2 linked regions of the Stegostoma tigrinum genome follow. The protein of the gene in region 1 interacts with the protein of each later gene in a biochemical or structural test. Links are inferred from orthologs where the notes say so. Each region holds a gene or a part of one and is shown in the gene's direction. Other genes may lie near its edges.

Region 1 (15,397 bases):
GATAGAACATAGAACATACAACATTACAGCACAGTACAGGCCCTTTGGCCCTCGATGTTGTGATGACCTGTCATACCGATCTCAAGCCCCTCTAACCTACACTATTCCATGTATTCCATATGCTTATCCAATGACGACTTAAATGTACCTAGAGTTGGCAAATCTACTACCGTTGCAGGCAAAGCGTTCCATTCCCTTACTACTCTGAGTAAAGAAACTACCTCTGACATCTGTCCTATATCTTTCACCCCTCAATTTAAAGCTATGCCCCCTTGTGCTCGCCGTCACCATTCTAGGAAAAAGGCTCTTCCTATCCACCCTATCCAACCCTCTGATTATTTTATATGTTTCAATAAAGTCACCTCTCAACCTTCTTCTCTCAAATGAAAACAGACTCAAGTCCCTCAGCCTTTCCTCATAAGACCTTCCCTCCATACCAGGCAACATCCTAGTAAATCTCCTCTGCACCCTTTCCAAAGCTTCCACATCCTTCTTACAATGCGGTGACCAGAACTGTACACAATACTCCAAGTGCGGCCGCACCAGAGTTTTGTACAGCTGCAGCGTAACCTCTTGGTTCCGGAACTCGACCCCTCTATTAATAAAAGCTAAAACACTGTATGCCTTCTTAACAGCCCTGTCAACCTGGGTGGCAATCTTGGAAGATTGTGCTGATGAGAGTTACAGTAGGGGGATGCCTTGGAGAGATTTTAAAACAAGGATAAGAGTTTTAAGTTTGAGGCACTGCTTAACTGGGAGCTAATGGAGATCAGCAACTCAGATGAAATGGGTGAAGGGAATGTGGTGCAAGTTAAAAGATGAATAATAGCATTTTTGAAAACTGTATGTGTGTGGAAGATGGAAGATACTAGCAAAGTGTATATTAAAAAAAGTTTATAAAGGCCAGGGTGAGGATTTCAGGAACAGATGATCTAAAACAGGTAAAATTATGGAGACAGAAACGTACAGTTTTAGTGATGGAATGGATATGTGGTTTGCAACTTATCTCATTAAATAGAAAACCAAGGTAAAAAGTCAGGGAAACTTGATCAGTGCAGACAAGTTGGACCAAAGAGTCCATTTCCATGCTGTGCGACTATGACTCTAAGTCTGGTTCAGCCCCAGATTGATCAGATAAAGGGGTGGAGTCAGTGACTAGAAACACAATTTGTGGTGGAAGGTAAAGATAAAGGCTTTGGACTTTGCAATAGTTAAGTGGAAAAAGGTTCCATTTACCCAGTACTAGATGTAGGGCAAACAGTTCTAACAATTTAGACTATATGTGAATTGAGAGAGGTGGTGGTGAAGTTGAGAGATAATGGGAACTGCAGATGCTGGAGAATTCCAGGATAATAAAATGTGAGGCTGGATGAACACAGCAGGCCAAGCAGCATCTCAGGAGCACAAAAGCTGACGTTTCGGGCCTAGGCCCTTCATCAGAGAGGGGGATGGGGTGAGGGTTCTGGAATAAATAGGGAGAGAGCGGGAGGCGGACCGAAGATGGAGAGAAAAGAAGATAGGTGGAGAGAGTATAGGTGGAGAGGTAGGGAGGGGATAGGTCAGTCCAGGGAAGACGGACAGGTCAAGGAGGTGGGATGAGGTTAGTAGGTAGATGGGGGTGCGGCTTGGGGTGGGAGGAAGGGATGGGTGGGAAGAAGAACAGGTTAGGGAGGCAGAGACAGGTTGGACTGGTTTTGGGATGCAGTGGGTGGAGGGGAAGAGCTGGGCTGGTTGTGTGGTGCAGTGGGGGGAGGGGACGAACTGGGCTGGTTTAGGGATGCAGTAGGGGAAGCGGAGATTTTGAAACTGGTGAAGTCCACATTGATACCATTAGGCTGCAGGGTTCCCAGGCGGAATATGAGTTGCTGTTCCTGCAATCTTCGGGTGACATCATTGTGGCACTGCAGGAGGCCCATGATGGACATGTCATCTAAAGAATGGGAGGGGGAGTGGAAATGGTTTGCGCCTGGGAGGTGCAGTTGTTTGTTGCGAACTGAGCGGAGGTGTTCTGCAAAGCGGTCTCCAAGCCTCCGCTTGGTTTCCCCAATGTAGAGGAAGCCACACCGGGTACAGTGGATGCAGTATACCACATTGGCAGATGTGCAGGTGAACCTCTGCTTAATGTGGAATGTCATCTTGGGGCCTGGGATAGGGGTGAGGGAGGAGGTGTGGGGGCAAGTGTAGCATTTCCTGCGGTTGCAGGGGAAGGTGCCGGGTGTGGTGGGGTTGGAGGGCAGTGTGGAGCGAACAAGGGAGTCACGGAGAGAGTGGTCTCTCCGGAAAGCAGACAGGGGTGGGGATGGAAAAATGTCTTGGGTGGTGGGGTCGGATTGTAGATGGCGGAAGTGTCGGAGGATGATGCGTTGTAACCGGAGGTTGGTGGGGTGGTGTGTGAGAACGAGGGGGATCCTCTTGGGGCGGTCGTGGCGGGGGCGGGGTGTGAGGGATGTGTTGCGGGAAATACGGGAGACGCAGTCAAGGGCGTTCTCGATCACTGTGGGGGGAAAGTTGCGGTCCTTGAAGAACTTGGACATCTGGGATGTGCGGGAGTGGAATGTCTTATCGTGGGAGCAGATGCGGCGGAGGCGGAGGAATTGGGAATAGGGGATGGAATTTTTGCAGGAGGGCGGGTGGGAGGAGGTGTATTCTAGGTAGCTGTGGGAGTCGGTGGGCTTGAAATGGACATCAGTTACAAGCTGGTTGCCTGAGATGGAGACTCAGAGGTCCAGGAAGGTGAGGGATGTGCTGGAGATGGCCCAGGTGAACTGAAGGTTGGGGTGGAAGGTGTTGGTGAAGTGGATGAACTGTTCGAGCTCCTCTGGGGAGCAAGAGGCGGCGCCGATACAGTCATCAATATACCGGAGGAAGAGGTGAGGTTTGGGGCCTGTGTAGGTGCGGAAGACGGACTGTTCCATGTAACCTACAAAGAGGCAGGCATAGCTGGGGCCCATGCGGGTGCCCATGGCCACCCCCTTAGTCTGTAGGAAGTGGGTGGAGTCAAAAGAGAAGTTGTTGAGGGTGAGGACGAGTTCAGCTAGGCGGATGAGGGTGTCGGTGGAGGGGGACTGGTCGGGCCTGCGGGACAGGAAGAAGCGGAGGGCCTTGAGGCCATCTGCATGTGGAATGCAGGTGTATAGGGACTGGACGTCCATGGTGAAGATGAGGTGTTGGGTGCCAGGGAATTGGAAGTCCTGGAGGAGGTGGAGGGCGTGGGTGGTGTCACAGACGTAGGTGGGGAGTTCCTGGACCAAAGGGGAGAAAATGGAGTCCAGATAGGTGGAGATGAGTTCGGTGGGGCAGGAGCAGGCTGAGACGATGGGTCGACCAGGGCAGGCAGGTTTGTGGATTTTGGGAAGGAGATAGAAACGGGCCGTGCGGGGTTGGGGAACAATGAAGTTGGAGGCTGTGGGTGGGAGGTCCCCTGAGGTGATGAGGTCATGAATGGTGTTGGAGATGATGGTTTGGTGCTCGGGTGTGGGGTCATGATCGAGGGGGCGGTAGGAGGTGGTGTCGGAGAGTTGGGGTCTGGCCTCGGCGATGTAGAGGTCAGTGCGCCATACTACCACTGTGCCACCCGTGTCTGCAGGTTTGATGGTGAGGTTGGGGTTGGAGCGGAGGGCTGCCCGTTCTGCGGGGGAGAGGTTGGAGTGGGTGAGAGGGGTGGAGAGGTTGAGGCGGTTAATGTCTCGACGGCAGTTGGAGATGAAGAGGTCGAGGGAGGGTAGGAGGCCTGGGAGTGGTGTCCAGGAGGAGGACTTGTGTTGGAAGCGGGTAAAGGGGTCAGTGGAGGGAGGGTTAGGCTCCCGGTTGAAGAAGTAGGCATGGAGGCGAAGACAGCGGAAAAACTGCTCTATGTCCAATCGTGACTGGTATTTGTTGATGTGTGGTTGTAGGGGGACAAAGGTGAGCCCCTTACTAAGGACTGATTTCGGTGAAGTTGAGATGGCTCTCGTCAACACTCAAGTGGAAAGGGGTTCCAGAAATTAAGGAAATGAAATGCAAAGTTTTTGAATTTGTGATTTTGGAGGAGCTTGTGAGGTCGGTGACAACACGATTGGGTGAGTAGGATGTGAGAAAGAGTAGGATGAGTACTGGAGATTTGACCAAGTTGAGGCTATAACCATAAAAGCTTACAGCATAGTCAGAGCCATTCATCTTATCATGCTGTTCAGATTCTTTTCAAGAACAATCTGAAATTAATTCTTCTAACCTCAAAATATTTCAACTCTTGTATTCTCCAACTTTGCTTCAAATATTTATCCAATTTTCCATTACAAAATGCAATGTTTCTGATTCAACTCTTACTGTGTGAAATTTCTTCTGACTTCTCTTACTGACAATTTTAACTTGATGACTTCTCAATACTGACTTCTTGAACAAAGGAATCTGTTATTCCCCAATCATCTGATCAAGAACTTCAGTGGAAAATGCAAGTGACATAGTTTTCTACAATAGTTGTAAGTTTACTTATTTTAATAATCCACTGAATATGCATTCCAAACCTAATCTTTGTCCAAACTTTTTTAGGTTTGAAATTCAAAATTTTCCTCGAAAAATTGCTGGCACTACTAAAATCGACTATGAAACTGGTGGTTTGTGTTAAAATTCAATTGATACTTCATGATTTTCGGTGAAGGAACCCTGCATCTTAGAAGTTGCTTAGCAAGCCATGCAGTTTCAGGGATAGTCAATAGCTGCCAGTTTCACATCATGCAGCAGGCTTTGTGATGTATGATTTCCAGTCTAGAGGGGCTGAATTCCAGTTTCAGGTCTCTTATTTTACAACTGCCTGTATAATGGTAGCAGGCTAGCTGCTGTTCAGTTGGATGGGCTACCCTCCCACTCCCATGCTCCCCCACCCCAATCTCACCTTTTAGCCAGGAGTGAGAGTTTGTAGAACTATGGTATCCTGTAAAACCTGAGGCCAGTATTTCAATGCTCTTCTCCTAACTATAGGGCAAGATATTAACTGATTCAAACCTCACCCTGACCGTAACGAAAATTTGAGTTGACAGCATTTCATTGCTGGCATCATCTTGTGGTCCTATGCTGTACAGTCTTAATGCTTTTCATGTAAATTTAATAAAGAGGCAGCCAACACACCAGATGATTTTAAACTGTGGCATAATCACTGATTTGTAAATAGCAGTGGAACAATACAAGAAAGGGGTACTGTAGTTAGTCAATAGCGAGACACCTCGAATGAAGATAAACGTTGATAGAAGGTTGAGGAGGCCATTATAGCTTAGTGCCTGCATCCCTGTGAATTCAACTATCTCTATGATGCAACACATTTTCAGAGGAGCAAGGGACAAGGATTAAAATGTTTATTTACTATAAACAACATTTTAACTTTACAATATATTGAACGTACACCTTTAGTTCTAAGATTTGGAGAGTTCTCAGCAGTGAATGCATATGGCCATCTGAGAATTACAGGCATATGATAGGATTGGAACCTTTAATGATAAATCATCTGGTTTTGGAAAAAAAAAATCACAACTTGAATAGAATAGAATGTGGATATGAAAATATAAATGATAAGCACTGAAGGATTATTTAAAACATCTGCAGTTCCCATTATCTCTAATGAAAATGTTGCTCAGTACACACCAACAAGGTGTGGCTTTATGAGTGTGCTACTTACTTATTTATTGCTGTGTGACTATTAGCCTAGTTTCACAACTATTGCGAAATAAAGATCTAAGTCAGTCTATACAATCAGTTGTGCTAAACAGTGGTTAGATCTGCATTTGTACCTATGATTCCACATTAATGAGTTCTTAATCTATGCTGTTTGCATCTAGAAGAATGCAGCATAGATGTTTTCCACACAGTGAGGACGAAAAAGTCTCAGAGGACAAGTTACCCTGCGCTGTTGGAGACTGACTCAAAAACAAAGCTTGGAACAGCTGCTATCTCAGCTGGAAGTACTGAGGGTAAAACAAAATAGGATCTTCGTTTATTTTTCTTAATTCACTGTTATGGAGCAAATACATTAACAATACAATCATTGTACACTAATGGTTCCAATTTAGACTCCAATTAAGTTTTTTGAACATCAAACTTGGCCTAGCTATTGCGCATCTAAATGCAAATCTTGGGATTCAGCATTCTTCTGACTGGTTTAACCTGGCTTCAATCGCAAGATGCAATCTTTTCTTCCGGTTGGCCATGTACCTGAAATTCCTTTGCGATGACGCCTGGTGAATAGCTCCTTCTGCTTACCACGATCCAAAAATTGAGCGATTAGAAGTTCTGAATACCAAAACAAAAAGACAAATCGTCTTTTCTACGCACCCGCTTTGGCATAGGTTTTACGCCCCTTAACGCTATTGCGAGCAGCCCAGGGGAACAGCAGCAGATTTTTTTAAAGATAAGCTTTTATTTCATTTGATTTGAACACTTTCATTTATTATAAACCCGCTGCATGTAATTAAAACAAATGGCACGGCAGATGACGATGGGAATCGTCCAGGAGTTTGTCTGCCCCTACCTGACAGTTATCTCAGCACTACTGAAAACTTTGTTGAAAGGGGAGGAGCAATGAAAATAACATAAAATCCATTTCAATGAGAAATCATCTGCACAATTTGGTCTCGCTGCAGTGTTCGTACCAAACATATCGTATAGCTTTGGCATAATTTAGAATAAGCGGAACCTGTTGAAAACACAGTGACGCAAAACAAAAGAAATCCAAATATAAAGGGAATTGACCCAGATTTTGTCATCATTTCACAGCTTATCTCTGAAACCCCTGCCAGATATTACTCAACAGTGAATTCCCTAGTGTCATTGGAAGGATGCCAATAACTTTAAGCCAGGCGGTGCCAGGCTGGAATTGGAATGTATTTTCTCTGTATTGAGTTCTGTCTTAACCACACAATCCTTGAAGGAATCGATATCCATTTGGGAAATGAGAGTTTTAAAGTCAGGGCGGAAAGCAACCATCTCCATTTGGCTCAAAAACCGCTTTGCTTTTTTTTGACGAAGGCATTTTTTGGACAAATATTTACGCTGTTGACAAATCTGCTGGCATTGCTAGACAATTCTTTCTGCCTCTCTCCATTTTAATCAAGCTCTATACCTTTAATCATCTCTATCCCTCTCTACCTATCTTTCTCTGTCTCAACATTCCTTATTTTCCATACTTCGCTCGCGACCGATTTTTTTTAAACCGGCGATTCAAAAATTTCTGCAATTCCAGTTTCGGTGTTTTCCTTTAAAACAAAAAATGATCTCACGGTTCCACCGAGGTAGGGCAAAGAGGAAAGCATCTGTAACTCGGACAAAGGTCGGAACCCATCATCGGCGGCACGAGCCAGGTGATGCGGGCTATGCGAACGGGCACGTGAAACCTGCAGCTGCGCAGTGACGGTGTGACGGCGGCCCGAGCACGCGCACGCAGCGTCATTTTAACCGTCTCGGAGGCGCGCGCCGGCTGGCGGTGGGTCGAGCGAGAGGGAGGCTCGTGCTGTCAACGGCTGTCGAGCGGTGGCGGCGATACCCGCAAATAATGCACGCTCGTGCTCTCTTCGGTGAGTCTCTGTTGCCTATTGCTTTCGTTCAGCGTCATTCACCTACCCTTACCTGTTCCTATTTTATTTACGGGGGCGGTTTAATTCCGAGTGTGTCCGGCCCATCAGGAACACATTCCTGAGTGATATTGTGGGGCTTTTCTTTTGCATGTTGGTTTTTTTTGTGTGTGTCTGGATGGAAGGAAGGAGGGTTGCGTTTTCAGGAAGCGAATCGCCAAACGTTTCCAGGATGCTCCACCAAAATCAAAGGGCGGGGGTTTTGGGGGGCTCGGGGAGGGACAAGGTACTGCTGAAAGCTGAGGTCTCCAAGGGGAATTGAAAGCCGCCTGGTTCGACAAATTTGACAGTATTCTTTTTGTTGTCTTCATCTTTTCCCATTGTTTGTGAAGCATGTCTGTTTTGTTACTGATTTCGATTATAGGCCAAGCTCACCACTGTACCTACGGCTTTTTTTCTGTCTGGGAGTGGGGTATTTCACAAGGTGAAAAAGGTACAAGGCGGACTTAACCTTTAAAGGCACAATACCGTGCACTTCAAGGGACTAATGTCTCGAACAAAAGCCACTGATTTGAAACAAAACGTCAAAACTGAAAGTTATTGCAACAATTCGTGGCAAGTTTGACATATTGATGATTTATTTGTGTTCAAGCAATGCCAAGATCGCCTTTAAATCAGAAGTCACACAAAAAAGCAATTTGACTACCATCTCCGAAGGATATGTTGTTAAGTCTCCCTTTGCCTGAGAATACCGGTTGCAGTTCTGTGGAAAACATGGGCAATTATGGATTCACCCCTTCAATTTATTTACATCGTGTTTAATAATTTTTCTCAGTACATTCGAGGTGAATACGAGTTAAATCGATAGATGAACAACAGTTAAATCGATTTTGTCAATTTACTGAGGAGTGTTCTGTTTGTTTTGCCAGAAAGCGAGAATTATTATTGTTTTGAATTTATTTATAGTAAACATAGCCGCAGTAGCTGTTAACTCGCAAAAGAAAAGCTAATCCTGCATAATGAATTTTTGTTCACAATAAAGCTTATATGTTGATGTAAAGCACTGTCTAGTAATGCCCAAAGCACTGAAATAGTATTGCTGTCAGTTGCAACAAGATGTATAGTAACAAACTAATTTGATATTTAGTTGCATACTTTGGTACTGTTTACTTTTTTAAAAAAAGTCAACAGTTATAATTACTACAAACATAACAGTTTTGTGATTCAGTTTTATTATTTATTTCCACAAGTAAATGTTCTATTGTTTTCCTCACAGCAAAATTCTCTAATACACATGGATGTAATATTTTTAATCTTATTGTTAAAGATGAGAGTATATTTTTCTTCATAATCACCTAATAAAGGCCAAATAATTTTCAGTTAAGCCTTAAACTGGTATAATGTGCATACTGTATTTTTATGTTGATGACATTTACCTCCTCCTACAGAATATCTCACTTGAGTACTGATTTTTGAATAAAACAATGATGTTTTCTTGTCTACTACATCACTCAAATTTGTGAATGGATGCACAACTTGCTTTTGCTGATTTACACAAACATTAGCAACATAAACACTTCACAAAGTAGCTTTTTAATTGAACTAGAGATATGAATTGATATGTCTGTAACAAAATATTTAGGAATTTTCAGTGCTCCCTTTTTCAGGTACTATTATATTACAGTGTAGTGCAGTGACAAAACTTATACCTTTACAGCCAACTTTTAGAAATGTAGTGCTGATGCAGCACACTGCTCAAATATTAATGCATTATAAATAGTGAAATATACCTGTGTTTGATTTAAACACCGGTTTTGTGTACTACTTGTGGAAAAAAGGGATAACTTCTCTTTGGTATATGCACTCTTAGTTTTAACTAGCAGAATCAAGCTTGGATTGGAAGAAGCAAATGATTAAGTGCACCAGTGTACCATGCTTGGGAACATTAAGTTTAAAAAAATTTGAATTTTAGAAGAGCCACAATAAAAACTTGGAGAGAGTTGTGAAGATCACAGAGGCCTTCACAATTTAAAATGGAGCATAGCATGATGTAGTTTTAAAATTATTGAGGATCTGTATATCTTCCAAATTGTCCTAAAACTTGAACTTAGTTATGTAGCCTATTGAATTAGCAGGGTGAAATTTGCTGCCTTTTAGAACCAGTATAAATATATTTTAAATGTAGTCATGTTAGTAGTATTTTGTTCCAATTTTTTAACATTTTGTTCATTTTGAACATATTTTAATTAAAAATATAAAACTATGGCTTTAATTTTAAGATTAATAACTTAAAACTTGGGTTTTTCAATAATAAAAGAGAACCTCTGGAATGAAGTCGAGACCACACTGGTCACCATTGTTGCCTTTGTCTATGCAAAACTTTGGTGAGGATCTGCTGAGAGTGAGAAGATTAAATAATTATTTTTGCTTCAGATCATGTTTTTAAAATATACATTACCATTAAGATACTTCCTTGGATAAAAATGTTATTAGAGTTTCAACTTGACATGACCAAACAATCAAAATGGAAAGAATCTATATGCAAGTTAGCTTACTGTCTTTTATTGATGAAAATGTCAGCATCTTTTGCAAAAGATACAACAGCAAAGAAATGCGCAATATGATGGCTACATGAGGTGGAAATCAAGCCTGAAAAATTTAGTAGAATCCTTTGAGGCAATAACAAGACAGATAAAGGTGAAGTAGTTGATGTAATATATTTGAATTTTCAGATGGTTACATATTCGCCACTTAAGAGGCCACAGTGTTGGTGGCAGTATAGGAAACAGAATTGGGATAAGGAGGCAATTTTCATGCTGGCAACCTGTAATTAATGGTGCATCACAGGGATTAATGCTGAGGCTATAATTATTTACAACATATATTAATCACTTGGATGAGGAAAGTCAGTGTATTATAGTCAAGTTTATGGATGATACAAAAAGACGTGGAAAGACAAGTGGTGAAGATGATACAAAGAATCTGCAGAGGGATGTGGACAGATTAAGAGAATGGGCAAAAACTAGGCCATTCAAATATGAGGTGTGAGGTTTTGCATTTTGACAGAAAGAATAGAGGAGCTGGATGTTATTTGAATGGAGAAAGACTACAGCAGGATTATGGAGTTCTTGTCCATTGAATATTGACCTTTATTTCAGAGGGAATGGTATCTAGAAGTTACAAGGTTTTGTTTAAAGCTGTATACGGCTATCAGACTACATCAGAGATGACTGTGAACAGTTTTGGGCCCCTTTATCTAAGGAAGGATACATTGGCATTAGACACATTCCAAAGGAGATTTTCTAAGTTGATAGCAAGTATGGAAGGACTGTCTTATGAGGAGAGGTTGAGTGAATACAGCCTGTGCTATTTGGAATAAAAAAAGTGACCTTTTTGAAACCTGTATGATTCTTAGAGAACTTAACAAGTTTGATGTGGAAAGATTGTTTCCCTTGTTGGGGAGAGATTTTCTAATTGACCTATTCAAAGATGTTATTATACAACTGTGGTGGACTTCCAAAATGAATTCACTGCCAAAACCCGGAACTGAACTAGGGATCTTTAATTCTTTCACAACTGAGCTATTTCAGTGGATATGATCACAATACATTCCCATTTAAGGCAGAGATAAGGAGGAATTTCTTCTGAGGGCTGGAAATCTGTGGGTTATTTTTAAGCCAAGGAGGCTGGGTCATAGAGTCGTAGAACATGGAAACAGACTCTTCGCCCCAATTCATCCATGCTGACAGGTACCCTAAATTGATTAAATTCTCAATTTTCAGCATATGTCCCATATCCCTGTAAGCCCTTCCTATTCATGTACCCATATAGCTACCTTTAAAATGTTGTAATTGTACCCACCTCCACCATCTCTTCTGGCAGTTTGTTCCATACAAGCACCACGCTCTTTGTGAAATAGTTGCTCCTTATATCCCTCTTATCTTAAAGCTACACCTGCTAGTTTTGGACTCCCCAGCTGTAGGAAAACGACTTTGGCTATTCATGCCGTTCATGCCCTTCAAGATTTTATAAAACTCTATAATGTCACCTCTCAGTCCAGTTCACTCAACCTCTCCCTGCAGCTGACACCTTCCAATCCCAAGGGCGTCCTTAAACATTTTGAGACCTTTCACATTTCTCAACATCATTCCTATTGCAGGAAGACCGGAATTGAATGCCGTATTCTACAGTCACTTCACTAACATCTTGTACAGGTGCAGCATGACATCCTAACTCCTATACTCAATGTAGTGACCAATGAAGGCAAGTGTGTCATATGCTGCCTTCACCACCCTGTCTACCTGCGACTCAACTATGCACCTGCACCCCAAGGTCTGTTTGTTTGGCACCACTCCCCAGGACCCCACCATTAACTATAGTCAAAGCTGAGACAGAATTTTTTTTTTAAATCAGTAAGAGAACTGGGGAGAAGGTAGGAAAATGGATTTGAAGTTGACCAGATCAGCTATGAACCAATTGAATAATGAAGCAGCATTGATGTACTGAATATCCCACATCTTATCACCCAACTACTGACCAAAATTAATTTACTTGCAGTGGTGATTTCTGATGTCTCAGTCAGCTTATTGTATACAAGTTACCTACTTTTTAAACATTTATGTCTTAGAAAATAGGAAACTTGGAGGTCAATTTTTAACTAATATCAGAACACTGATATTGACTGTGCAATTGTATCAAATCTAATTTTGTTCTGATCTGAGACAGAAAACATTTACGAAAGATTCAAACTCTGAATTAGAGGTTGACAGGTGGACATAGCAAGATATCCTGTTTTTAAAACTTTTCACTGTATCAAGTGACTAATACCTGGACCAGGTGGACTGCAGTGGTTCAAGAAGGCAGCTCGCCACAACCTTCTCAAGGGCAACTGGGACAGACAATAAGTACTGACCAACCAGCAACATCCATATCCCACAAACAAATTTTAAAAGAAAAAACGGTATTGAGCAAGCACACTTTTTTGCTTTGGTTGGCAAATTAGGCTTTAAACTACAAAGAAGATCATTCCCCGTTATAGTTAAGAGATGTTTCATGCTTTATGAAATTACAGTTCTGATAGTGAACAGTCTCTAGTTCTCAGCTTACAGTGGGTTCCCATATCCCTGCTTCACTGATGAGTAAATTTTGGTGTCCACCTTCAGGTGTGCTAGTTAGTTAAAGAATTTCTCAAGTTTGCAACCAGCTGTAAAGCCTATTTTGATCAGTCTTTCCTTTGTCCATGTGCTTCTTAGACTAAAGACAATCTTCCTCCTATACCAGCTGTGGTACCCTACACAGCTAAAACAATCTTTTTTTGAGGCTGGAATGCACGTTGTTCCTTTCTTTTTAGAACAAACAGCTGTACTTGGATATAACCGAAAGTTGGGGCTAATATAAAAGCTCATAAAAGTAACATGAAGGATCTAAAGTTAAGAATTAAAGTAAGGTCTCCAAAGACTAAAGGCAAGAACTTTGCATTGCGATGGGAATGTTTGAAGCAAAATAAGATCAGAGCATAATTAATATTCTTTAAAGATGGGGAAGGGGAAGTCAACCTGAGCAGGGAGACCGAGGATGGAGCAACAAGGATAGAAACAAGAGACAGAAAGCTAAGGCAGAAAAATTGAGGGCAGAAAGCATGTGGGACCATAATGCAAAGGAAAGCTCAGATGACTAACAAGTCAGGTCTAAAAGCTTTAATTCTTAATGGGCGGAGCATTCGTAATGAGGTAGATCAATTATCAGTGCAAATACTCGTCATGATGTGGCTGTGATTATGGAGATGAGGCTGCAAGGTTACCAAGGATGGGAACTCGCCATTCAAGGGTATTCATTCCTTTGGAAGGACAGAAGAAGGGAAAAGAGGTGCAGTAGTGTGGTTAATAAATTAGTAAAATAATGCATTAAAGACTACTGTTGGCTTGGAAAATCATGATGTGAAATATGCGTTGGTAGAGATAAGAAACACGGGGACAGAAAATGTTGCTGGGGATTGTCTAAAGTCCCCCCGCAGTAATAGTGGAGATGCAAGATAAGGTATTAAACAATAAATCAGAGTTGTGTGCAATAAGAGTTCATCTGTAATCATGAGTGGCTTTAATTTAAATTTAAATTAGACAAATCAAGCTAGAAATACTATTGTGAAGGAGGAATTCCAGGAATGCGTATGTTATGCTATCTTGAGTGATCGTTATATGACATTCACTGAGATGGAAAATGAAGTAGCTGAATCTGAGACAAGGGTCCAGAATCAAAATAGAGGGAGCTGTGAGGGTATGAGGCATGAGTTGGTAAGGATGGATCAGGGAACCTCACTAAAGTGATTGATGGAAGTGTTGTGGCCCGTTCAGACCCCATGCAAAATATTTTAAGGAGATAACCTAGGCCCTGATTTTTTTTTTCTAATTTTAAGGGTAGGTGTGAAGTGCATTTCCCGGATGTGATGCAACATGTCAAACTAATTAAGCAAAACACAACTTATTTAAATGCTATAGTTAAAATACAAACCAAAAAAATGGGAATTCAGAATAGCTTAACTATTGAAAAATGTAACTGAAGATTATATACAGTACCTATTACTAATTAACTGTTCGAATATAGTAACATACCTTAAGCATACCCCTTGACAAAAAAAAATAAATTCAGACACTGATTCTTACATGCAGCCCTCCAATCCAGGAAGAAACTGTATTGAGAGATTTCAGAGAAAGTGGCAGCTAAGAATCATTTGCTGAAGCTTCCACCTGTCCTGGGATCCCAAACAGCTTCTGACTGCTCAAGCTAAAAGTAACGAGAAAGTTTAGTCTGAGAGAGCTGGCCTCTCCTCGTCTGTTGTTACCGCAGTTTTAAAAAAAAACCTAAAGACCTCCTAACTTATTTACTTCAGCTGTTTTCAGTAGCCAGTTCTATACCTCTGCCTTTACAACGTCTCTTCAAAAAAACCCAAGACAAAATAATCTTTTCAAAGTGACAGTTTTGTCACAGTACATAGACAATAGTTTATATGTAAATATCTTGCACATGAATCACAACTATTGTCTGACATGAAAATGAGAGAGGCAAGGTAGCTCAACCGTGGCCGACAAAAGGATTTAGATTCAAAGAAGAGATTTTCAAAATTACGAGAAATAGAAACAAGCATGAGGATTGGGAGCATTTTAGAATTATGCAAAAGAGGCAAGGGCCTGGACAAGAGGGTGAAAATACACTGGGTGAAATTCCAGGGAATGTCACACTGACCATAATAGCTTCCATAAATATGTGAAAAGAAAAAGATTAGTAAAAGCAAATGTAGATCCCTTAAAGCTAGAAGCTGGGAAATTATGATGGGATATGAAAAGTTAAAGATTTGAACATTTACTTTTGTTCTGTCTTTACAAAAGAGGCTACAAATAATGTCCCAGAAATGTCAGAGAACTAAGGGTCTAGTGAGATGATGGAATTTAAGGAAATTAGTATTAGTACGAGAATGGTACTGGGGAAATTAATGGGTTAAAGGTTGACAAGTCATGAGGTTCTGAATGTACATCAAAGCGTTATAAAGGAGGTGGCCCTGGAAATATTTAATGCATTGTTGGTAATCTTCCAAAGTTCTATAGATTATATTAAAGATTGGAGAATGACAAATGCCACCCTATTATCTTTTAAAATAAAAGGGAGGGAGAGAAAGCACAGAATTACAGAGCAGTTAGCCTGTCATCAGTAGAGGGGGGAAATGCTTGTGTTTATTATTTTTAAAAAAGAGTATTTCAAGATCATTAAGTTTGGACAAAGCCAACGTGTTTAGGGCAGACAAATCATGCTTAACAAATCTTTTCAAGTTTTTTGAGGTTGCAACTAGTAGAATAGATAATGGGCAACCA
Region 2 (15,398 bases), on another chromosome or scaffold:
TTCCCTTAATCACGCATGATCACATTTTCAAAAAGTTCAAACAAATTTGTTAGGAATGACCTCCCTCTGACAAACCATGCTATTTCTAATTAACCCGTACCTTTCCAAGTGGGTATTCATTTGCTCCTTTGGAATTTTCTCCATTGGTTTCCCTACCACTGATGCGAGGCTCTCCAGTCTGTAATTTTGTGGTTCATCTCTACCACCCTTCTTGAAAGATGGAACCACATCAGGCACCCTCCAGTCCTCTGGCACTTTCCCTCTGGACAGAGGTAAATTTAAAATTTGTGTTAGATCCCCTGCAATTTCTTCCCTCAACTTCCACAGCAACCTGAGAAGCAATTCATCCAAGCCCGGACAGCCTCCAATACTTTCCCATTTCCTATGTCAAATTGTGCAAGTTCCTCACAATCCCTTTTCCTGAATTCCCAATCTACATTCTCCCTCGCTAGAGGGAAGACCTAAGATCTCATTTAATACCCTTTCAACATCCTGTAGCTTTACACACCGGTTGCCTCCTTGGTTCCTATTCTTTCCCTGCTTAACCTCTTTACCTTTTAATCTATTTACACAATATCTTAGGACTTGTGAACAGAATTAGGGAAAATCCTTTCTCATGCCCTCTTTTTGCTCTTTTACTTGCTTTCTTGTTTACTGCTGCATTTCCGTATTGCTCTAGGAGCAGAGTGGCAGTGATAGCTTTGGGCTTGCTAAAAGCCCTTCTCTTCTCCCCCGTCCAGTCCTGAATTGTCCTAGACACCCAGGGTTCTCTGAACTTATTGCTCCTATATTTCCCAATAAAGAATACATGCTACCCCATTGCTCTGCTGAAGACTTACCACAATGAGCTGTTCCCAGTCAACAGTGGCCAGATCTTGCTTTATTTTAATAAAATCTGCCTTTGCCCAATCCAAAGCCATCTTTTGCAGGCCATCTTTTTCCACTTCCAGAACAAATTTGAACTATACTGTGTTGTGGTTGCCATTGCTAAAATGTTCTGCCAATGTCACATTAACATTTGTCTGGCTTCTTTCCCCAGAGCCAGTTCCAGCACTGCACCATCCCTTTTTCGGCCTTCAATAATTTGATACAATAAATTCACGTGGATACATTTCAAATAATCCACCCTCTCCCCTCTAAACCCTTAACACTATGACTATCCCAATTTATGTTGGGAAAGTTGAAATCCCTTAGTATAATTGCCCTGTTATTACTTCTACACACTTCTGTGAACTGTCTACATATTTGCTCCTCTTTCCTAATGACTCTTTGGAGCCTAAAATACCTTCCCAGTAAACTGGCTGCCACCTTAACATTCCCATGTTCTACTCACAAAGCCCTGTCTGAGGACCTTTCCAAGATCTAACAACTGATTCTGCTGTAGAGCAGGGTAGGCATAGTCCAGGTGAGTAAGAGTATTGGGTGACTCAATAGGGGCACAAACAGTCGTTTCTCTGGCTATGAATGAGAATCTAGGATGGTGTGTTACCTCCCTGGTGCCAGGGTACTGGATGTCCTGAAATGGGAAAGAAAATATGCAAAAGTCATTGTCTACGTTGGCACAAATGACATCGGTAGGAAGAGGTAAGATGGCCTCTGAAGACAATTCAGGGAGTTAGGTAAGGAGCTTGAAAAAACAACTAGCAGAGTAGTAATCTCGGGACTGCTACCAGTGCCGTGGGCTAGTGAGGCCAGGAACAGGGAGGGAGTACAGTTCAACATGTGGCGAGAGAGTGGGTGTAGGAGGGAAGGCTTTAGCTATATAGATCATTGGGATGTCTTCTGGGGAAGGTGGGACCTATACAAGAAGGATGGATTGCACCTCAACTGGAGGGGCACCGACAGCTTGAGGGGGTGGGGGGGTTAAACTAGTGTGGTGGGTGTGGGAATCAGAACAACAGGCCAGTAAGCGCAGGGGCTGGGGACAAAAGCGAGACTGAGACATTCATACTACAGAGTAACAGCAGACACGGGGAAGTCATGGTGCTCAGATGGACTGGAGGTCTGGAATACATATACTTTAATGTAAAAAGTGAGGCAGTTAAGATAGATGAACTAAATGCATTAATTACTGCATGGAATTATGATGTTATTGCCATTGTGGAGACATGGTTAAAGGAGGGACAGGACTGGCAGTTTAACATTCCAGAATATCACTGTTTTAGAAGGGACAGGAAGGGTTAAAAAAAAAGGGTTGGGGGATTGCATTGCTGATTAGGGATCATGCCACAGCTGTGTTGAGGGAAGACATCTTGCAGTAAAGCATTATAGGTGGCACTCGAGAATAGGAAGGGAAAAATCACAATGTTGGGAGTTTTCTATAGATCTCCCAACAGCCCACAGGAGACACAAGAGCAGATACGTCGTCAGATGCTGGAAAGGTGTGAAAAAAGCAGGGTGGGTGACTTCAACTTTCCTCTTGTTGACTGGGAATCCCTTACAGCCAGGTGCTTGGATGGAGAGCAATTTGTTAGATGTGTCCAGAGGACTTTTTGAGACAGCATGTTGACAGTCCAACCAGAGAGGAGGCAATATCACACTTGGTATGAGGGAACAAGCCAGAACAGGTAACTGATGTTTCAGTAGGTCAGCATTTTGAACTAGTGACCATACCTCCATAAGATTTCGAATAGTCATGGATAAGGACCTCGGGTGAGGATGTTTAAATGGGCAAAGGCCAATTCCATCCACATTAGACAGGAATTGGGGAATGTGGATTGGGAGCAGTTATTTCAGGGAAAATCTACATCTGGCTTGTGGGACGCTTTAAAAGACCAGTTGATTAAAGTGCAGGACATGCATGTCCCTGCAAAACTGAAAGATAGGAATGGCAGGATTCAGGAACCATGAATGACAAAGGAGTTTTAAGACTAGTCAAAAAGAAAAAGCAATCACAAAATTGGTCCAGGCAGCTACAAACTGACTAAACCATTGAGGAGTATAGAAAAAGTAGGAAGGAACTTAAATGTGGAATTAGGCAGGCTAAAAGGCATCGTGAAATGTCTTTAGCAAACAGGGTCAAGGAGAATTGATTGATTTTTGTCACATGAACCAAAATACAGTGAAAAGCTTTGTTTACAAGCAGTACAGGCAGATCACAGCAAGCAAAGGATGTACAGATTGAAAAGACTTGAGGCATCCAGGTTATATTGCAGGTTACGTTATTTGAGGCTAGAGTCCATTCAACGGTCTGATAAAGACCAGAAAGAAGCTGTTCCTGAATCTGCTGGCGTGTGTGTTCAAGCTTCTATATCTTCTGCCTGATGGAAGAGGGTGTAGGAGGTCATTACCGGGGTGAGATGAGTCTTTGATGATGTTGGCCACCTTTCTGCGGCAGCGAGCCATGTAAATAGAGTGCATGGATGGAAGGTTGGCTTCCATGATGGTCTGGGCTGTGCTAACCACCTTCTGTAGTTTCTTACAGTCGTGGGCAGAGCAGATGCCACACCAGTATGCACCCCAACAGTATGGTTTCAGTGGTGCAGCTGTAGAAGTTGGTAACTGACCTTATGGACATGACAAATTTCCTGAGCGGCCTGAAGAAGTAGAGGCTTTGTTGTGCCTTCTTGACTGTCGCATCTACGTGGGATAGCCAGGATAGGTCATTGGTTATCGTTGTTCCGAGGAACTTGATGCTCTTCACCCTCTCAACCTCAGTTCCGTTGAGGTAGATGAGGGTGTGTTCTCCTCCCTTTTTTCTGAAGTCAGATTAGTTTTGCAAACGTTGAGGGATTGTTTTCATTGCACCATGTTACCAAACCTTCTATCTCCCAAGGCTTTTTATGCATATATTAGAAGGAAGAGGGTAGTAAGGGAAAGAGCAGGCCCACTCAAGGATAAAGGTGAGAAGTTATACATGGGGAAGCCACAAGAAGTTTGGGAGATCCTTAATGAGTACTTTGTATTGGTGTTCACCAAGGTAAAGACATGACTTACGCAGAGGCAGGGATGAGCATGTGAATGCCCTAGAGAATGTCAATATATTGAAGGAGGAAGTTTTGGGTTTCCTAAATTACAAAAAAATATACAAGTCCCACGACCAGATGGGATCTATCCCAGGTTACTGCAAGAGGTAAGGAGAGAAATAGCTAGGCATCAGCAGATATCTTCACAGCCTCTTTGCCCACAAGTAAAGTTCCAGAGAACTGGAGATTAGCCAGTGTTGTTCCCTTGTTTAAGAAAGGAAGTAGGGATAATCCAGGAAATTATAGGCAGGTGAGCCTATAAAGGGGAAGTTCTCAGAGAAGATACTGAGGGACAATATATATGCTCATTTAGAAAAAAGTGTAGTAGTTAGTGACGGGTAACATGATGTTGTATGAAGAAAGTCATGTCTCATCAACTTTATTGAATTTTTTGAAGAGGTGACAAAGATAATTGATGATGGAAGGGCTGTGGATATAGTTTATATGGACTTTAGTAATGCATTTGATAGTCCCACCCTTATACATTAATGACCTAGCTGAAGGAACTGAGGGCATCCTGGCTAGGTTTGCAGATGATACAAAGATAGGTAGATGGTCAGGCAATATTGCGGATGCAGGGAGGCTGCAGAAGGATTTGGATAGGTTAGGAGAGTGGGCAAAGAAGTGGCAGATGGAGTACAAGATGGGAAAGTGTAAGGTCATACACTTGGGTAAGAAGAATACAGCTATAGACTATTTTCTAAGTGGGGAGAAAACTTAGAAGTCTGAAATGCAAAGAGACTTCGGAGTTCTAGTCCAGGAATCTCTCAAGGTAAACTTGCAGGTTGAGTCAGTAGTTGGGAAGGCATATACAACTTTGGCATTTATTTTTGAGATAATTTAAAAATAAAAGCACGGATGTACTTCTAAGGCTCTATAAAGCTCTGATTAGGCTACAATTGAAGTAATGTGCACAGTTTTGGGCCCCTTATCTCAGCCCTGGAGCAGGTTCAGAGGAAGTTCACGAGAATGGTCCCAGGAGTGAAAAGCTTAACATCTGAGAAACGTGGAACTATACTCATTGGAGATTAGAAGAATGAGGAGGGGATCTAATTGAAACAGAATATTGAAGGGCCTGGACGGAGTGGGTGTTGGGAAGACATTTTCATTGGTAAAACAGACGAGGACACGAGTGCACAGGCTTCGAGTAAAGGGAACCCCTTTTAGAACAGAGAGAAGGAGAAATTTCCTCAGCCAGAGAGTGGTGAATCTATGATAACAAGGTGTGGAGCTGGATGAACACAGTAGGCCAAGCAGCATCTGAGGAGCAGGAAAGCTGACGGTTTGGGCCTAGACCTTCATCAGAAATGGGCTATGGAATTCACTGCCACAGAAGGCTGTGTAGGTTGTCATTGAGTAAATTTAAGACAGAGACAAATAGGTTCTTGATTGTCAAAGGGATTAGGGGTTATGGGGAGAGTGTGGGAGAATGGGGTTGAGAAACTTATTAGCCACGATTGAATGGCAGAACAGACTCGATGGGTTGAATGGCCGAATTTCTGCTACTATGTCTTATAGTCTTATGGCAGATTGGTACAAAAACTAAAATCATGTGGGATTTGGGATGGGCTGGCTAGATGGATACAAAACTGGCTTGATCATAGAAGAGAGAGGGTAGTGATGAAAGGATGTTTTTCAGAATGTAGACTGGTAATTAGTGGTGTTCCACAGGGGTCAGTCTTAGGTCCTTTATTCTTTACAGTATATATAAATGATCTGGAGGAAAATGTTGGTGGTCTGATTAACGAGTTTTCAGATGACACGAGGATTGCTGGAGTTTCTGATGTGCCGACAATTGTGAAAAGATACAACAGGACACAGATAGATTGGCGATTTTAGCACAGAAATGTCAGATGGAGTTTAATCCAGACAATTGAAAGGGTTGGAGCATCAAATTTAGGCGTGAATTATACAGTAAATGGCAGAACCCTTAGGAAGGTTGACATTCAGACGGATCTGGGGGTGCAGATCCAGGTCCCTAAAAGTGGCAACATAGGTGGCCAAGGTGATTAAAAAGGCATAGAATGGCTCACTGCCATTTTCTCCAAAGGAAACAGTATTGCACAATAACTGCTGGCTTTGTCATACTAGAATTCTTTGAGGAGGTACAAGTAAGGTAGATAAAGACACAGTAGTGCAACAGCCCATAGTATTAAAGATAAAATATGAACATAGATAGAGGATTAGCTAATAGAAGACAGAAACAAAAACAGTAATTGCAGGAAAAACTCAGCAGGTCTGGTAGCATCTATAGCCAGAAAACAGAATTAAAATTTCGAGTTCAGTGATCCTTCTTTAGAACTCTACCCAAAATACCATAACCGTCTTCAAATATTAATTTAGGATTATTAAAATTCACCTACAACATTAGATGAGCAAGACTGCGCCATCTCCACGTCGAGATTCTCTGTCCCTCCAATCCCACTGCCTCCTCGCTCCATACACCTTCCCCTACTCCACCGCCAATCCCACCCACCCGACACCACTCCCCCTTCCTCCACCCTTTCACACACTTCATTCCCACTCCAGCTCCGCCCTCTCATCCGCCTCTTCCTCCCGTTCACTTCGCCTCCTCCATCATCCCAGTGCCGCTCTCCCCGCCCCTCCCGCTCCAAGCTCTCACGCGGTTTCTCCTCGTCCTTCCCCTGCAGACCCGCCCCTTCTTCTCCCATTCACACTCCAACCCCACCCCTTTAGCCCCGCGCCCCTCTCTTACACGCAAGCCGTCCCCAGCCCCGCCCACTCACTCACTGCCCTGCCCGCACACGCTATCCAGCCCCGTCGCCTTCCTCATTCCCCTACCACCCCCACTCGGCCCCTGACCCTCTCTTCCAAGCCAACCCGGCCCCACCCCTACAGGTTCTCGCCCTTCAGCCCGCCCCCTCGCCCCGCCCTCCTCTTTAAGGGACGCTCGGCAGCGTCTGCCACATCCCACTGTGACGTCAGCAGGGCCGACTGGCCGCTTCCTTTGCCGCCGCCATATTGCTGGAAAGAAATCCAGCGACGGGAAATTTGGTTCCCCCCTTGCCCGGAGTTTTCATGTTGTACTGCCGGTATTGAGCGAAAACAACCGCTCCCCTCCTTGTCAAATTTATGAAGCCTCCTTCCTGACAAGACAGAAACTAGCGGCCGACCCCCGATCCTCCTCGAGCCATGTCGACTCTCACTCAGAGGAGCTCCGGCCTCGTCCAAAGGAAGACCGAAGCTTCGAGGAACGCGGAAAAAATCCCCGACGGCGACGACGACCGGAGGGCCGAGCATGAGCAGGAAGACGAAAAAGGCGACTCTAAAGAAACTCGTCTAACCCTGATGGAGGAGGTCCTGCTGTTGGGCCTGAAGGATCGGGAGGTCTTATTTATTTTATTCCGTTTCCATGAGCGGCAATAACATGGCTATGCCTTCCTCTTCAGGTTAAAGACGGTCTGATTTTGTGTGAAAGTGTAGGCCCGCAAGATTGTCAACCTAACCTGAACGGAGGGTGTTTGAAGGGAGAGGCGGGTTCGAGAGTGATTGAGGTGTTTACTGACCAGTACTGAAGGGTGTAATTGCGGGGATAGATGGTGGGATGGAGTTAGTCCAATAGGACTGACGGAGGGTGGTTCTTACTGCTCATCAAGTGTGGTTGCTTCTGTACACAATACCTGCGCTGACTGAACACCAGCTCAGTTCCGGTTACAAGCTGACTGAGAGCCAAATGTTAGTGATGGGAAGACTGGTACAGAAAAAGTATTAAGTGCGGAGCCGTTTATAAGAAAGACTTGGCCATTTTTCTAGTGGGGTGATGAACTGAATAGCGCAACTTTTGTGCAAGGGAATAGAGACACCAGGAAATCTGAAATTTAAGAGGAACCTGGGATTGTCAAGTTCAGACAACACAAAACAATACCAGTTTATGTTTGTGCAGCAGGATCGTGGTAGAAAAATGTCTTTAGGCGCATCACAGGAACTTTGCAAAACAACTGACTCTTAGCCGCCCAAGGGGATAATTGGGTTTGGTTAAATGCCCGTTTAATGAGGTAGGAAAAGTAGGAATGTAATGAAGAAGGATGAGCGAGTTAAGAAAAGAAATGCAAGAATTTGGATCACTGACCCCTGAAGGCTGGACTACAAGTGAGCATTTAGAATCAGGGATGTTCGAGGTCAAACTGGAAGATCACATCTGAAAGGTTCTTAGCTGGAGATGGAGCAGAAATGTGTGAAGCAATGGAGGGAGTCAAAACATAGTTGTGTTTTAAAACTAAGTTGCTTCAACAAAAAGTCACACTAAGTTAACAAACAATGATGGGTGAATGGAACTCTGTGTTAGTATATGGGAGGTAGAAATTTGATTTTTTTTTATGGACGATAATACTGACCAGGTGTGTGTTTCCATTGTCAGTGCAACAAAGAAGTGGATGAGGTGTGCAAAAGCAGATGATACTGGGATGAAGTTGGGTATTGTAATTAATGTATAAGGGTTGTTAGTCATGGTGCAATATGTGACCAGAGGCTCCGCTAAGGATATTATAAGATGCTGGAGTTGCGAACAGCCAGGTTTTGCCACACCGACTTACTAGAGACAACGATAGATTTCTTGACTAAGAAATCTTAATTTCAGAGGAACTCTGAGTCTTGATACAGGAAACAGGTTTAGTTGAAAAATATTTCAGCTTCTGCATTTGCAAGACTGTATGTTTTGCCTTTCTTCAAGTGTTTGAAGCTGTTGATGGTTTTGGAGCAATTCAGTAAACTTATGCATTTAGATGAAATTGCTGTAGAATTATTTTAGGCTAGCTTACTAAGGTTACCACAGGATGCTGGAGTTATGAACAGTCTGGCCCCAACACTTGCCAGGGTGAAGGATAGAGTCTTCCATTTAGTTGTTGGAATTTTCGCTCATTCAGTCCTGAGTATTGGACAAGAGTCTCTGCAATGCAGAACTAATGTCATGTCGGTGGTGACGGGGTAAAACTGAGTGTTGTCAACCTGCGTGCAAAAACTGACATTTTATTTTTGGTGATTAATTGTCATGGGCAGCATTGTAGATAGGTAAAAGGAGGTGCTGCAAAGATGGTGTCCTTTTAAAGGATCTAAATATAATGATTTGGAAGCATTGCAGGTGATCCTCTGATATGAGTAGGTAGATATGAATATAATTAGTCAACTGCGAATCTGTTTAGTTGGCTGATTGGTGAGGTGTTGGAGATGGAAGACATGGTCAGCCGCAGCTAGGATCTGTGGGGATGTTTTGCCTTTGACGTTAACATGAGATAATTTATGATTTTGATAGAGGCTATTTTAGTACTGTGGCAGAGACAGAAATTTGATTGCAAAGAGTTAAATTTGAAGCGCTCAAGGTTGGAGACATTTTGGTATAAATTGTGGGAATGATTTGTGAACATAACTTTATTTAATTTTCAATATTGGATGATCTGTGTAGTTTCACAATGCTAATTTTTATTTTCATCTGAGTTTGCAAGACATAATTTAATAATTACTGTAGTCTACATGCAGTGCAACAACTTTGCTGAAATTTTAAGAGTTGTGAAAGGCTTGCTGATACAGTAGTTCTGTAGGAACTGAATCTTGATACATGATTTGCAGTTTAAAAATACTTCAACTTGCGCATTTGCATGACAGTATGATTTCTGTTCCTTTGAAAAATGCTTGAGGCTCTTAAGTGCTAATTATAAAATAATTGTAAAGAAATCATTTACAAAGTTAGATTTTTTTTTAGGTATAATTGTTCTACGTTGGTGTTTGCTGAGTGATTTTTGTTTTGGAATAGTCCTGATCTAAATCCAAGAATAAAGTCAGACTTGCCCAATTTTCTGTTTTTAAAAAAAACAGTATTGGTTGTTATTACAGTCATCAAATGATGGCTTTTGCCCCATTAATGTAGGTTGCTACTACAGTTACTTTTATGAAAAAAAATCGATTAGATGATGTTTTAGATTTCATTTATTAAGTAACTTCCTTGTGCAATTTCAGTATCCAGAATAAATTTAGAAATGCTTACCTATATTAAGTTATTTAGTTTGAGGTTTCTTTTAAGATTACTTACAGTGCAAAATAGCAACACTCAAACGTACTGCGAGAATTGGGTAAGTCAAAACTGCAGCCATGAAGTTGAGTCAAACACATGTGGCTATCTGTTTTTAGTGCAGCAGTTGAAAGTTATAAGCGCTTCCGTGGAAACTGCTCCAATTTTTTGGAATGTTAGATGCTAAAAAAAGCATGTTCTGTCAGGATCCTTCTTCAGTTTCCTTGATTTACACTTCACTTGTGTTATGAATAAAGTAGAAAACTGGTGTTTAAGATTGGAAGTAAAACAAGAAAAATGCTGGAAATAAATGTCTGGGGGCATCTGTAGGAAGAGAAACACTAGCCCAACCAGCTCTATGTTAAGATAAGTAACGATGAAGAAGAGAAGGATCTATTGCAGTAAAATCTTACATTACGTACACTGTTTCAAGATAGCGCTGGAGCATGGTGACATTTTGCGCTTGCATGTGTGAAAACACTTTTCACTACATTTTTATATACATTTGACAATAAATAAAATATGAATTCTATTCCCTCAATTGTTGTGGCCTCAAGACAGCTTCAGGGCAGCCTGTGATTTTATAGTTACTTAGAATAGTCAAGAATCATAGTCAGTATTCAGGAAACTCTTGTAAATTGTTTAAACGGTTTACCAAGTCCACTCACCTGGCATGCACTCTTAAGAAACCACATAAATAGGAAGAAATAGATGCTTGACCACTTACTTCTGTTGATACAGTTCCCAGATGACCTTACAACGATTGTTTTGTAGAGCTGAACTCGAACATATTGCAATGGATTTGCTTGGAGGTGTTATGATTCAACAGGTGGAAGTTGAGCATTTGGTGCATTTTGAGATTATGGCTTACTACTTGTTCTAATATGTCAATGTCTGTTTTTCTGCATGATATTAGAGGTGTGCATTGGGGGATAGCTACTATGAATGGCTCCACCTGATTAAGATGTATGGTTGCAAGAACAGGTTTTTTAAAAATTTATCTTCTACTCCATATTCCAAGACTTATGGCTCATTGACTGTACAGTAGGTGAGCATGGGGCAGGGGAATAGGATATGGGATGAGGGGTAAGGGCAACTAAGAGCTTTTAAATGCCTCGAGATATGCCTTGTAACCAGCCTGCTTTGGCAATCAACCACTCTTCCTGACCCTGCCTTCACTCTCCTTCCAGAGTTTATTAGATTAACTATTCCCATCGATTCCCTAGAGCAAAATTGCTTGTGACCAGGCTGTTTATACAGAGAAGAGTCTGCCAAGTCAGAAAACAAAAGAATCTAGCCCAACATTTCACATTTCAAAACATGAAAAATAATTGATCTGAATATCTTTACTGTGCACACATTCTACCAGATAAGTATTTTCAGTATATTCTACACGTAATGGAGAAAAAGGTGTTGAGATTTGGGATTTTCATGCTAACTATACATGGCAGATTCCTGATTGGTAATCAAATCATTTAGTGAAGCCCAAGAAACAGATGGGGTTGAAAGCCAAGGTCTTCCAGATGACTGATTCATCCTACCAGATATTGTACACTGTTGGAAATAAGTTGTGCCTTTGGACTTGTTTTGAAAGTTCCCAGAAAGGAGGACCTTTTTGTTTAAATTGTCTGTTGTTTTTTAAAAAAAATTCTTTTCCCGTAAAGAAAACTAGTTATTATATATAGATAACAAAGTGTGGAGCTGGATGAACACAGCAGGCCAAGCAGCATCTCAGGAGCACAAAAGCTGACGTTTTGGGCCTACTCCCTTCATCAGAGAGGTTTTCTGATGAAGGGTCTAGGCCTGAAACGTCAGCTTTTGTGCCCCTGAGATGCTGCTTGGCCTGCTGTGTTCATCCAGCTCCGCACTTTGTTATCTTGGATACTCCAGCATCTGCAGCTCCCATTATCTCTGGTTATTATATATAGCATATTATCCTGATGTTTTGTATGAAAACAATGATCAGGAGTTTGTAGTTCACCTCTCATCTGCTCTGCTATTCAATATGACCATAGCTGATATCATCTTGGCCTCAACTACACCTCTTTCCAGCCCACTCCCCATAACCCTTCATCTACTCTGAATTGAGGGTGCAGTTTGAGAAAAACAGTATTTGGAGCGTGTATTTTTGTATCGTGATAAATTTTGTAGAATTCAAGCTGTTGACTTGAAACTTTGCTTAGTTTACAGTTTAGCACTCTGATTATTTGAAAAACTGTGTAAAATCTTCAAGTGCCAGCAAATTTTGGCATCTTAATTGAACCTGTTAATTTCAAAGACATTAATGTATTTCAGGTGTGGTAGACTAGTGTGATTTCTTTAAATGCTGCTGAAAATATGCCCATTCCACTCTTTCTGTCTGCCTAATTCAGATTTTTTTCACTTGATCCTGCATACAAGCCAAATATATTAATTTGAGCCAGAAATTCCAGATGTAAGATATGTACAAAACAACAAGTTAATGACTTGAATTAAAAATGTTTGAAAATCCTTGTACCATACTTTTTAAATCAAGAACAGAAGGGGAAACAATTAAAGATAGTGACAAAACAAAATTAATTATTTCTTGTTAAGTTTTCAACTTACTGCTACCGTACAATTTTTGAGGGCCATTATAGTTGAGTTTGCTGCTCCTAACTGATTTATTTCTTATTACCTTATTCATTATTCCTTAATTCACTTGTGGGATGTTATCAATGCATTTATTGTCCATCTCTAATTGCTGCTGAGAAGATGGTGAATTTGAGCTGTTGCATTTTGTAAGTAAACCCACAGTACTGTTAAGGAATTTCAGGTTTTTGAACAAGTGGCAGCAAAGGAATGGCATTGGAGTTCCATGTCAAGGTGATGTGTGACTTGAAGTGAAACTTGTAGGTGTTGTGTTTCCATACATTTGTTGCACTTGTGGGTGGCAGAACTCTTAAATTTTGGAGATGATGTTGAAAGACATTCTTGATGTATTACTACTGTGCATCACTGCAGGGAGGGAATATTTAAGGTGGAGTGAGGTACTGAACAAATGTGTTGCAATGTCCTCTATGATATTAAACTTTTTGCTTTGTTATTTGAACTGCATTGATTGAGACAAATGAGAGATTTCCATCAAACTCCTGACTACTTCTATATACATGGCAATTGGACATTGGAGACTCAGGAAGTGAATTGCTTCAAGAAATATATACTGTCTGATCTGCTTTTGTAGACACCGTGATTATATGGGTCCTCCAGCTGCGTACTGGTCAATGATGACTTACACCCAGCCCTAAACCAAAAGAATATTGATAGGATAGAATATCCTTTATTGTCACTTGTACTCCAGTACAGTGAAAACTTTTTACAATGGCTGCCTTTTGGTGCCATCTTAGATATAAGTACCTTGGTACAAATCCTAGCGTTTAAAAAAAAATAGTGTTGTTATACAAAGAGGATTAAAAGGAGAAAGCATGAGCATTACTTAATGTTTGAGAATGAGTTATGAATGAGGTAGTTATAACACTATGAAAAGTGTTTACATTACAGTCTGGCAAAGAATTCCAAAGCATGGCAGCTCAGCATGTGGTGTCAGGTGCAAGTCCAACAATTATCCCGCATTGCTCCAGTCTTCAGATCACTCCTTACTGGCACTCAGCAGCAACAAGGTAGGTTGTGCAGTATGGGATTGGCTTCAGAGTAAACAGTAATGCCATTGAGCATCAAGAGGAGATGGTTAGATGTTCTTTTGTTTGGAATGTTTCTTGCCTGGCACTTCTGAGCCATGATCATTGCTTGTCAGTAAACGGTGCAAGCCTCAATACATAAAGGTCTTGTGGTATGTGGTGATGATCTAGTTAATATTTGAGGTGTCATGAGCACTGAACACTAAAGTCATCAGTGAAGTTTTCAACTTCACACCTTAGGAAGGAACTGATGCTGGCAGGGCCTAGGAAACTACACCAAAGAACTTCTGAAAAAAATCTTCTGATTTGATATTAAAAAAATCTGTTCTGTCTTTCTCTGTCTTGTTTGTTCGCGCTGTCTCTCCCCCTCTCATTCGTAATCTTTCTCTCGTTCGTGTTCGTGTTTGTGTTCATTTTTTCCCTCCCTGCAAAATCCCTTTGGTTCAGTCACCATTTGGCCTATCCTAGAGAGGCAAAAATTCTTAAGGACTCTGTCCATTAACAAGAGTGGCTGAGTGGCATTAAAGAGCTCCACTCAGAGTATATCGTGTACTCTTGCTATCCACGATGTGACTTATAGTTGGTAATCAAAATTGAGGAATACTGATTGCTCAGCCAAAGGCAGGTGGGCAATGGCCAGTTCCCTTGCTTGTTTCTAACCTGATGTCATGAGATTTCATAAAGTCTGGAGTCAACAGTTTGGACTCCCCAGGCCATGGACTCAAGGCAGCTGTATACAATTGTGTTCCCATATCTTTTGGGTCTGGCATATGGAATGCACTGCTGGCAGTGGCAGTGGAGTCAGATACTTTCGAGACTTTAAATGCGACTTTTGGATAGGCAGGGTAGATTGATCTTGGTAGGATAATAGGTTGGTACAACATTGTGGGCCGTAGGGCCTGTACTAATCTATGTTCTGTGGTGATGGAGGATTCTGGGACTTTCAGGGTAAGTTATGATTTTGTGAACATGATTGCTCCTCTCATCTGAGAGAGCTGTCCCAATTTTGGCAGAAGTCCCCATATGTTTGATTGACCAGTCCCTACATTTTATGTTGGGAGTGTATTTTTTATCAATATGAGCAATTCAGGCGTGACAGGCAAAACAGACCAGATAGAAAGATTTTGTGTGCTTGTACAAAATACATGTGGTTGACTTAAATACAAATGCTGACTTCTAGACCTGGGACCAGCTCATTACTTTCTTAACAACTAGTATGTAATTAATTTTGGCCTACAGACTTATATTTTTATTCATTCATGTGCTCTGTGTTGCTTTGATTGTGTGTATTGTGGAGATGTGACTGCATAATCAGTATTTAATGAGCTTGAGTTGGGGGTGTTGAGGTAAACTTGCAAGAAATCCTTGGAAACAATGAACTACTTGTTGCTTCTTGCAAAAATAAATAGCCTTTTTCATCAGTGCACAGGTATGCAGAAAGTGTAACTGGTTATTTGGATATCTCCACATTGCTTTTTCCCTTTGGATAATAGTGGAAACGTAATGAAGGGCTTCCTGGGCTCTATTGAGGCTAAGCATGACTACTGCTCACGTGGCCACAAGCCCTGATGTGGGATTTGGAGCTAGAACTTCTGGCTGTACTAAGGACACTGTCTCTGCACTACAAGGCCTCCTTTTTGTACTTAAATTGACTTTTGCTTGTAGCATGGGAGGACTATACTCTTGAATGTTGTTTAATACAGTTCTTTTCCAGGAAACTTACCTTAGGGAAAAATTAGAATCATTTGTGCTTTT

What was found.
Region 2: the proteins of myo18ab (region 1) and golph3a form a complex in vitro, tested with the Homo sapiens proteins (2 studies listed by IntAct). The link is inferred for Stegostoma tigrinum from reciprocal best matches to the Homo sapiens genes MYO18A and GOLPH3.

Annotation. Positions count from the first base shown.
Region 1 is NC_081380.1:29,904,548-29,919,944, reverse strand, and holds the start of myo18ab (unconventional myosin-XVIIIa), read left to right. Parts: upstream 1-7,429; 5' UTR 7,430-7,538; intron 7,539-15,397.
Region 2 is NC_081354.1:140,802,554-140,817,951, reverse strand, and holds the start of golph3a (Golgi phosphoprotein 3), read left to right. Parts: upstream 1-6,909; 5' UTR 6,910-7,118; coding exon 7,119-7,313; intron 7,314-15,398. UniProt on the Homo sapiens protein: Phosphatidylinositol-4-phosphate-binding protein that links Golgi membranes to the cytoskeleton and may participate in the tensile force required for vesicle budding from the Golgi.